Daphnia pulex: one gene and its partner. The protein of the gene in region 1 purifies or fractionates together with the protein of each later gene. This does not show direct contact. Links are inferred from orthologs where the notes say so. Each region holds a gene or a part of one and is shown on either strand. Other genes may lie near its edges. The genes, in order: protein kibra-like and merlin-like.

Region 1 (4,460 bases):
TATTATTATTTTCTCGATTGGCAAGGAGTCGTTCTACGCGACGGTGTAAGTCGGCCATGTTTACAACTGGTGAGCCAGATAATCCGCTTTCTCCAGGTGTATTGGCATGACCAGGCAAGGCCGCATTAGCCATGGCAGAGTATTGTGGTGGTCCATAGATATCAGTAAACGATAACACAGATGATAAAGAGCCCTTGAAACAAAAAAGAAACCCATAAATTATATGAGATTCAAAATCAATTCATGAGATAAGTACCTTGGACGATGCATGGCTCCTAGATGAAGTCGAAAGAGATCCTAAACTCGAACTACTTGACATGCTTAATGTGCTGGCAGATAGTGAACGGAGCTGCCCTTCTAAAAGTGCTACGTTGCGCAAAGCTAATCTCATTGATTGCAACAAAATTTGTTTTTCTTCGTGGAGTTTAAGTCGATCGGCTATAGTTCGATTAGAAGCTTCTAACGCTTGGCTAAGATCTTTCTCAAGCCGTTGAATCTTGGTTCGAACCGTTTCCATCTCGGTTTTGGAGCGCGACCTTGGTGCGATGCTGCGCAGTTCCCGCAGCAGTTGTTCTTTCTCCTGAATGAGCAGAAGTCGGTCTTTATCAGATTCACTCTGACCAGGAGCGATTCTATCCTCGAGTTCTGCCATTTTCTGTTGCAAGTATTGCAAATGTTTTCTTGCTTCGTCGTACTGAAGACGAGTTCGGGCCATTTCAGCCAAGCGTGTTCCGATTGGAGCTGATTCGCCTGAAAAAATGACAAATTTAGCGTAAAACTGATGATTTCCATTATTGTTTTTTTTTCTCCCCTAAATTAATCCTACCTGATAAATCTGTTTGGGAGGCTGTGCTAAATTTCTCTTGTGGAAGGGATAACGTTGATAAATCTGGAGACATGTCGTTGTTCAGCGGCTTCAGTCGGGTTAAATCGTCGCGCAACCGTGACAACGAAGCCATTAATTCTGCTTTTTCTTTCTCGCCGCTTGATAGCGAGTGTTGAATGTTGCGCAATTCAGCCATCATGGCTTGTGCTTCTTGCAATGTGTAACCACAAGGCAAAGAAGACAATTTAGTCTCAGCTCTGTCAAGTAAAGAAAATGAAAAGATTAAGATAGGTTCTATGACAATTAAGATATTCTTCCTTTAAAGAGCTAACTTACTGTGAAAGCATGTCGATACCCCGTTGCTGATAGGCGAATTCAGCTCTGGCAACATCTAAATCCCGGCGTAACCGGGCAACTCTATTTTTAGCTAAAGCCACATCGGCTTTTAACAAATCCGGATCAAATTTAGTGCTTGACCCACTGCTTGTGGAATTCACTGTAAAAAAAAATTATTCCGGATATTTATTATATTTGTTAGACAAAGAGGATGGGGGTGGGGTGGCAATGAGATGTTCTAACTAAGAAATATCCCAGCGCCTGTGACGTTACATTATCGAAGAAGAATTTCACTTACATGATGTTCGCGAAGCATCAAGCCCTGTGTAGGCATGGCGAAGTAGATGAAACTCATCTTGTGCAATAGTTAATCTTTGTTGTTTAATATCCAAGATCTCTTTCTTGGCTTCAAGGTCTTCTTTGGCAGTTTGAAGATATTCTTTCAGCATGGCTTCTTGTATAGACCTCCATTCTAGCCGAGGGTCTTCTAACTGATTGGTCTCTGAATAGGCAATTTAAACAATTGTTTGTTTGCTAGGTCATGTAACTCTTGACTCTTTTTTCTTTTTTTTTTTACTTACGGGTTATGTGGTTTGTGTAAAAAGGTCCAACCTGAGAGTCATATGATTCTTCCCAACCTAAAGGTAATTCATTTCCAACACAGTCTGCAAATGTTTGCGGCTTTATTAACCTAAATAAATACCAAAAAAAATCCAATACTTGATTAACACTAGACTTTATAAATAATTAACTATTATTTTAATTGCATATTTCTTTGGAATCTAACACTAATTTTAAAACACTATTTTTTCTATTAGGATTCAGTTGAATTTTAAATCAACAGATACTTGGAATGTTTAATTTACAATATGGACGTATAGGAAGTATGCGCAGCCAAAACAAGGATATAGCAGTTCAGTTCAACATTTGTTTTGGGGACATTTCTCATTTTTTTTCATGCATTTCCCAAAAGCTATGGCTCAACTTCAAAATAGAAGAAAAATAATCCAAAAGTTCATTGGAATTATTGTGTGTGGACTTGACAGCCATGTTAGCATTCCACAATCGACAACAGGTCTCAGCATCATTTGAAGGATGGGCCCAAAGAGAATAATTCAAATTAATAGTATCTGAAATGTTAACAAACCTGTCTCGAGGATCAACCCAAGTTGTTTTCTTGCTGTTGTGATCAATAAAGTACACTTTGCCATCGTAATCTCGACCAAGCTCCCATCCTTGAGGCAAAGGGATCTCACCATTACGCTTGGACATGTCGATGGCAATATTTCCAACAAAAGTACAACAAAGAACAGAAGAAAAATCATTCACTAACACATTCACGGTATATTCGACGCTGTTTTTGCACTGAAATGTCGAATGTTAGATGCAGAATTCTGAGCTTGAGTCAGGACGTCGAGAGTTTCATTTTGTAGATAGCAGCGCCATTTTATTTGTGACGTCATTGGAATGCGACCCATTATCATAACACAACATTTTCCCCAACGGTTTTTAAGTTCGCATTACCATGAATTTGCAGGAAAACCCAGAAATTGACCACGGTGTCTCAACAAGATGATATCGTTGAACTATTTCCAACACTTTTTAGGAGTGAAAATCACTTCTAAATGTCCAAAAATTCCAAGTTATGCCGAAACACCAATTCGAGCGAAGCTAAAGGTGCATTCCAGCTAGGAATTCCTCCTTCAATGTTAGACTCGACAATTTCGAAGCCAATAGTGCCCTCCTCCTACGGAACAGCAGATGTCGTTGTTCTCAGTAATAAACTGGGAAAAACGCAGAATATTTTCCTAATAATAATGTACCAGTCGCCAAACATGAACTGAAATCCTCGTACCAAATGGCTCGTGCTTTGAAAATTAAAGCTCTTTGTTCTCTCTATCAGTTCTAATCTTTGGCGCTTTACACCGTAATTATTTCCTTAATTCAGCGGAGATGGATGCATTTCTTCTTCACACGACAAAATAGAATTTTAAAAAAATAAAGAAGTAAGACGGAATTCATAACGAATAATTTTCATTGGCATGTTCTTAAGTGTAGGTTGACAGCAATTTTACGAAGATACTCTGCACTATTAAAGCCAAATGGAAATGGGAAGAACGCTGTTCGGCAGAGACCTAGACAAAAACGTCTAGGAATGTGCACTATCAACTATTCCCCTGCCGCTACCGCCGAGCCAAAAACAAATTATTTTTCTCCGTTCATACGGAATTTGGTTCGGCTAGTCTAAGTTTAATTTGCTTTGATAAATTATTCGAGGAGCATTGCATTGGCTATGAACATTTTTCAAATATTTTTTCAGTTACCTGTATAAAACTGATTATGAAATCCAATACAACAATGCGATAACTAGAGGTTGTTACGATTGGATCAACTTTATTTAAATATCAAGCACATTCGTAACACCAACTTGGCACAACGTATTTTCGAATTTTGTTTGTTTTTCGAGTCTGGAAGATAACAGGAAAAACCTCTATGTATGACATTGACATGCTCATCCCTTATCACGAGCAAATTAGTAAATTCTAAAATTACAGCTCACTCTTATAATCAGTGCAGCATATAAAATTTACTTTATACCTATTAACTTCGACTTTCGCCCCATTGTTAGTGATCAGAGACATAAATTTTTTCTCAGATGAATACAAACTGCAACAAAATATGATATAACCTTGAATAAAAAAGAGATAAGCCATGGGCCGTGGCTTTCCTCGAAGTCTAATAATGGCTCCGAATTAAAATTTTTTATGAGCGCAAAGCAGGAATTTGTGGGTTCGGCAGGCATTCTAGGCATGTGGTCGATATTTTAACCATGTTTATATGAGCTAGTAATTAATAAGTTGCAGAACCACCTAGCCTCAATGAGTACCGAGTTGAGTGTTCTCTCGTATTCTGCCACCGAAAACAGAAAATTCATTCTCCCATCCGAAAGAATGAGGCCATTGCGCAGCTCGGGATGAGAAAGAAAAACATGGCAATGATGCTTTCACCGATAACTTGATGTACAAGGCCGATTCTTTCTTTGGACAAGAGCCAATCATCTTTCAGTAACCATCTATGCCCACATAGCGGTAGGGAAAAGAACTCATCAATCAAATAGAACTCAATTAACGAAGATGGTGATGTTTTCCCATCGTTAATTCTTTTTTCATGAAATAGTACAACAAAATTTGACACTAAAATTTTAGTTTTCAATTATAATAAAAGGAACAAAATTCATCTCCCAACAAATAATTCCCTCCGTCTTAAAATTGGACAAGTCGCCGCTGGGTGACTCTAG
Region 2 (4,572 bases), on another chromosome or scaffold:
CCGGACGACGAGTATGTTTTGTTAATTGAGATATACATTTTTATGGAATACCTTAATCTAACTTTTTTTCTCTTATGCACTTATGAATGCATGTATAATAGATGCATGTTTTTTGGACCTGCCATCACAGCACTAGTCCAACCATCATTAAGTGATTCTTCGTCCAGGAAAAAGAAAGCAAAGGATATTTACATTCTTTGCTTGAGTGATGGTAAATCAATACTACATATCACTATTACTATACGCTTACATGAACTATAGCTTTTTCTTTGGACTCATATACTTGTCTGTTCGTTACTTGTGCTTAAATTCAAACGTTATAACAATATTTCTAATGTGTGAAATTCACTATTTCAAGGCAATGCTGATGGCTTAGGTAAAACAAGGAGAGAGGAACTAAAAAAAAGTTGCAAGATTCTTGGACTAGCTGATTCCAATATTATAATTCACAGGTAAAAATTCATTCAAACATTCATAAATTGTTGAAATTTCTTAAATTTTCTTAAATTTCTACATTATCTGTGAACAGTGGACCTCCTTTCTTTGAAGATGATCCACATTCTTTGTGGGATTTCAAATCAGTTGCAGATACTTTGAATATCTACATTGAAAAATTGAAAATTGACAGTGTAAGTATTTCAGGAATAGATTAATAGGCTTAACTAACAATACAATTTAATGCAATTTTTTATAGCTCATAACTTTTGATGAGAATGGAATCAGTGGCCACCTAAATCATAAATCGATTTATCAGGGGGTGTTGCAATTAAAGAAAGAAAGCAAAAAAAGAGGTATTTAAACTATATTATAGTGTGCATAATTAAATGTATTGATATTTAAAAGATCGTCTTTAATTTTTCCAACAGTTACTGTCCGAGTTTTCATTTTGGAAACGGTCAGTTTGTTTCGAAAATATTTGGGATTTATTGATTCGATTTTAATCAAACCTAGTGCATTAATCTGTACTGCCGATTGGGTTAATAGGATGAACATTCAGGTATTTTTTTAAACAGTTAATAATGTCAATTAAGACTTTTGCTAAATAAATTAATTATGTGTTCACGTTTAGAGAGCAATGGCAGCTCATGCTAGTCAATATGTTTGGTTTCGCCGTTTGTACATCATTTTTTCAAGATACTTATTCTTTAACACATTCATTCCCCTTGAAATTTACTAGCTTAGCTACTGCTTGTTGTCTCAGATATGCACCTGGAAGTGCGGTGGTTGGAAAATTTAAATCCTATCGATTCGATGCATTTTGGACACGGGTAAATTTACTCAGATTTTTTTGATCCCTTCAATTTTATGGATGTTTATAATTCCCTTAACAAAATACCTAGTCTTTTCTCTGGAGTGTGTAACATAAACAAAAAAGGGTATGTTGGCTCTTGTTTTTTTTTCCCTAATGAATTCTCACACGTGGCTGCTGTGTTTAACTTTATTGCATTTACTAAACAAAATTTAAAATATTGATGTTATCAGATGTTAGTGGTTGAAGTCAACAGTGCACGTAATGTATTATTTTTATTTGAATGAAAATGCAGTGAACAATAATACAATTTTGAAATTCGTCATACTCCTACTATACATGTATTCAACTATTTTCTAAAGCATGACATTTACGCTGTAATTTTGTGACGACCAGACATGAAATGTTTCTTTTTATAAAACTGAAGAAAAAAAAACGATTTCCCGCCAGTAGTTTCATGTTGTCCCGCCAGGGTCCAGATGGCTGTGCACTGTGGCAATAGTCAATAGATGGAAAATCCCATCGTCTGCAATCAAGCCTGTTTTTGTTCATTTTCCGTTGTTTTGTATCAGCTGAAAGAACAGTATTTGTTAATTCTGTGTTGATTCTACAAATGGAATGAATCAAAATGAAGACGTTTTCTAAGTTTTATAAGTTTTTGCATTAGATTTGTTTGATTAAGTTTAGGTCTCGGTGTGCTAAAATGAATTTCCGCCGGAAGCACAAATCGTCAAAATGTTTTCCAGTAAAAATTCTTACCCTAGACGCACAACTTGAATTCAACCTAGAGGTTTGTATTATTTATTCACATAATCATGTTCATGTAAAAAACTGACAATTATAACTCTTGTAGTGCAAAGCAAATGGAAGAGATTTATTTGATCTAGTGTGTCGAACTATTGGATTAAGGGAGACCTGGTATTTTGGGTTACAGTATGAAGACTGCAAAGGATTTCTGGCGTGGTTGAAAATGGATAGAAAAGGTGAGTGTTAATGCTTATTATGTGTCATTCACCTAATAACTGTTTGTATGGCCATAATATCTATAGTTCAGGACCAAGATGTGCCCAAAACAACTCCTGTGCCTTTTGTATTTTTGGCTAAGTTTTATCCCGAGAATGTGGCTGAAGAGCTGGTTCAAGAAATAACTCAACATTTGTTTTTCTTGCAAGTAAAGCAGAGTATACTCAACATGGATATATACTGTCCTCCTGAAATATCAGTCTTGCTTGCTTCATATGCTTTGCAAGCCAAGGTAATATTATTATATCTTGGGTGATTTTCCACAATTAATTTTTCCTTCCCATTAGTATGGTGATTATGATGAGGCAGCCATGAAACCTGGTCTCCTTGGTACAGAAGACTTACTGCCTAAGAGAGTTCTTGATCAGTATCAAATGACAGCTGAAATGTGGGAAGAAAGAATAAAAATTTGGTAATAAGGATCATCATTTCCATTTTAACCGTTTTATAGACTTAAGACTTTACTTTATGTTATATAGGTACGCGGATCATAAAGGTCTCAGTCGTGATGAGGCTGAAATGGAGTACTTGAGAATCGTACAGGATTTAGAAATGTATGGCGTTAACTATTTTCCTATAAAAGTGAGTTTAGAAACCCTAGCTAAAACTAAAATGCGTGTATATCTTGCATATTGTTAACTTGTTTTAATCTACAACTTATTATTCTATTTGAACAGAATAAAAGGGATTCCGAGTTGTGGCTTGGTGTTACGGCCCTCGGTCTGAATATTTACGAGCAGGATAACAAATCCGTACCGCGCATTAACTTTCCCTGGTCAGAGATCCAAAACATCAGCTATGACGACAAAAAGTTTGCCATTAAACCAGTCGACAAAACTGCACCCCCTTTTATTTTCTATTCGGATAAGCATCGAGTCAACAAATTGGTAATCCATGATTTTTACATAAATGAAAAAGGATAGCGAATTTTATTTCCGCATTTTTATGTCTAGATCTTAGATTTGTGTATTGGAAATCATGATCTCTTTATGCGTCGGAGGAAACCGGATTCAATTGAAGTTCAGCAAATGAAGGCTCAGGCTAAAGAAGAGAAACTCAGGTAAATTTGACCTTGACAAGTTTTGTCTTATTCATTGTTGAGTTCTTATTGTGGTTACTTTACCGTTTTTCAGACGACAGAGTGAAAGAAATAAGCTTGCACGAGAGAAGCAACTACGCGAAACAGCTGAACGTGAAAAAGCAGCCCTAGAACAACAGTTAATTCACTTTCAGGAAGAATTCCGTGTAGCGAACGAACAGTTGGTATGATATTCTTCAGTTTAATTTTTAGTTTTAGTATCAAGTACAGTATTTCATTATACCAATTTTGTAGAGGCGTTCCGAAGAGTCGGCTGAGCTGCTGGCCGAAAAGGCGCGAGTTGCAGAAGAAGAGTCAATGTTGTTAACTCAAAAAGCCTCAGACGCTGAACAAGAGTTGCAAAGAATTCGTTTATCTGCCATGAAAGTAAGTGAATTTTTTCATAACTTATTTAGGTAGCTTTACATTTAATTGTCTTTTTGCGTCTAGACCGAAGAGGAAAAACTTTTGTCTCAGAGACAATTACATGAGGCGAAGCAAATTGCCTCAAGGTTATTAGAGAATTCTGAGCGTTGTGCAGCAGAAGCAGAGCAGCTAAAAGGTGACCTTTTGCAGGCCCGTTACGCTGAAACTCAAGCCAAAAAGAAGCTACTAGAGTTTTTAACAACACAAGCTAGTGTTGCAGCCTTACACTCGGCATCTCGTCCAATTACACGCATCCCGTCGTCCGCGTCTGTCCTGGTACTTTGCAGTTTCTGTCAACATTTTAATGAGCGAATAACTACAATTACCATTTTTCAGTCTGTTCCCAACTTGTTTCCGACATCAAGTTCGTCGGTAGCTGGATCAGACCACCATTTACATCATCAGTCGGACATTCAGCAACATTTACGACGACTCGACGATGTCTCTAACGAAGCAAGTTTGCCGGCTTATGAGGCCCGCCTTCCTATTCCGCTGGCTAATCAGCTTACTGGCCTCACCAACTTAACTGGCTTAAGTAGTAGTGGATATCTATCAGCTATTGCTGCTTCCGAACTGGTCAACTCTTCATCCAACTATGACCTTATGACACATGGCGATATGGAGCAACTCTCACTTGAAATTGAGAAAGAGAGGTTGTAAATCTATCGTAGGAATTGTTGCGTAATTGTTTGCTCATTTTTTAAAATAAATTTAGAGTCGAATACTTGGAAAAATCGAAGCAACTGCAGGAGCAACTGAGAGAATTGCGTACAGAGATTGAAGTCTTGAAAGTAGG

What was found.
Region 2: the proteins of protein kibra-like (region 1) and merlin-like purify together in Drosophila melanogaster (affinity purification with western blotting; 3 studies listed by BioGRID). This does not show direct contact. The link is inferred for Daphnia pulex from reciprocal best matches to the Drosophila melanogaster genes kibra and Mer.

The regions. Positions count from the first base shown.
Region 1 is NC_060020.1:3,560,639-3,565,098, reverse strand, and holds the start of protein kibra-like, read right to left. Parts: upstream 2,907-4,460; 5' UTR 2,435-2,906; coding exon 2,310-2,434; intron 1,854-2,309; coding exon 1,744-1,853; intron 1,665-1,743; coding exon 1,461-1,664; intron 1,323-1,460; coding exon 1,163-1,322; intron 1,084-1,162; coding exon 827-1,083; intron 751-826; coding exon 257-750; intron 194-256; coding exon 1-193. UniProt on the Drosophila melanogaster protein: Regulator of the Hippo/SWH (Sav/Wts/Hpo) signaling pathway, a signaling pathway that plays a pivotal role in organ size control and tumor suppression by restricting proliferation and promoting apoptosis.
Region 2 is NC_060022.1:2,539,732-2,544,303, reverse strand, and holds the start of merlin-like, read left to right. Parts: upstream 1-1,732; 5' UTR 1,733-1,952; coding exon 1,953-2,039; intron 2,040-2,102; coding exon 2,103-2,232; intron 2,233-2,298; coding exon 2,299-2,504; intron 2,505-2,559; coding exon 2,560-2,684; intron 2,685-2,751; coding exon 2,752-2,854; intron 2,855-2,949; coding exon 2,950-3,159; intron 3,160-3,225; coding exon 3,226-3,332; intron 3,333-3,405; coding exon 3,406-3,535; intron 3,536-3,605; coding exon 3,606-3,737; intron 3,738-3,800; coding exon 3,801-4,052; intron 4,053-4,112; coding exon 4,113-4,429; intron 4,430-4,491; coding exon 4,492-4,572. Other genes in the region: N-acetylglucosaminyl-phosphatidylinositol de-N-acetylase-like, read left to right, coding at 1-11, 102-211, 359-452, 530-629, 695-791, 867-997, 1,070-1,177. UniProt on the Drosophila melanogaster protein: Regulator of the Hippo/SWH (Sav/Wts/Hpo) signaling pathway, a signaling pathway that plays a pivotal role in organ size control and tumor suppression by restricting proliferation and promoting apoptosis.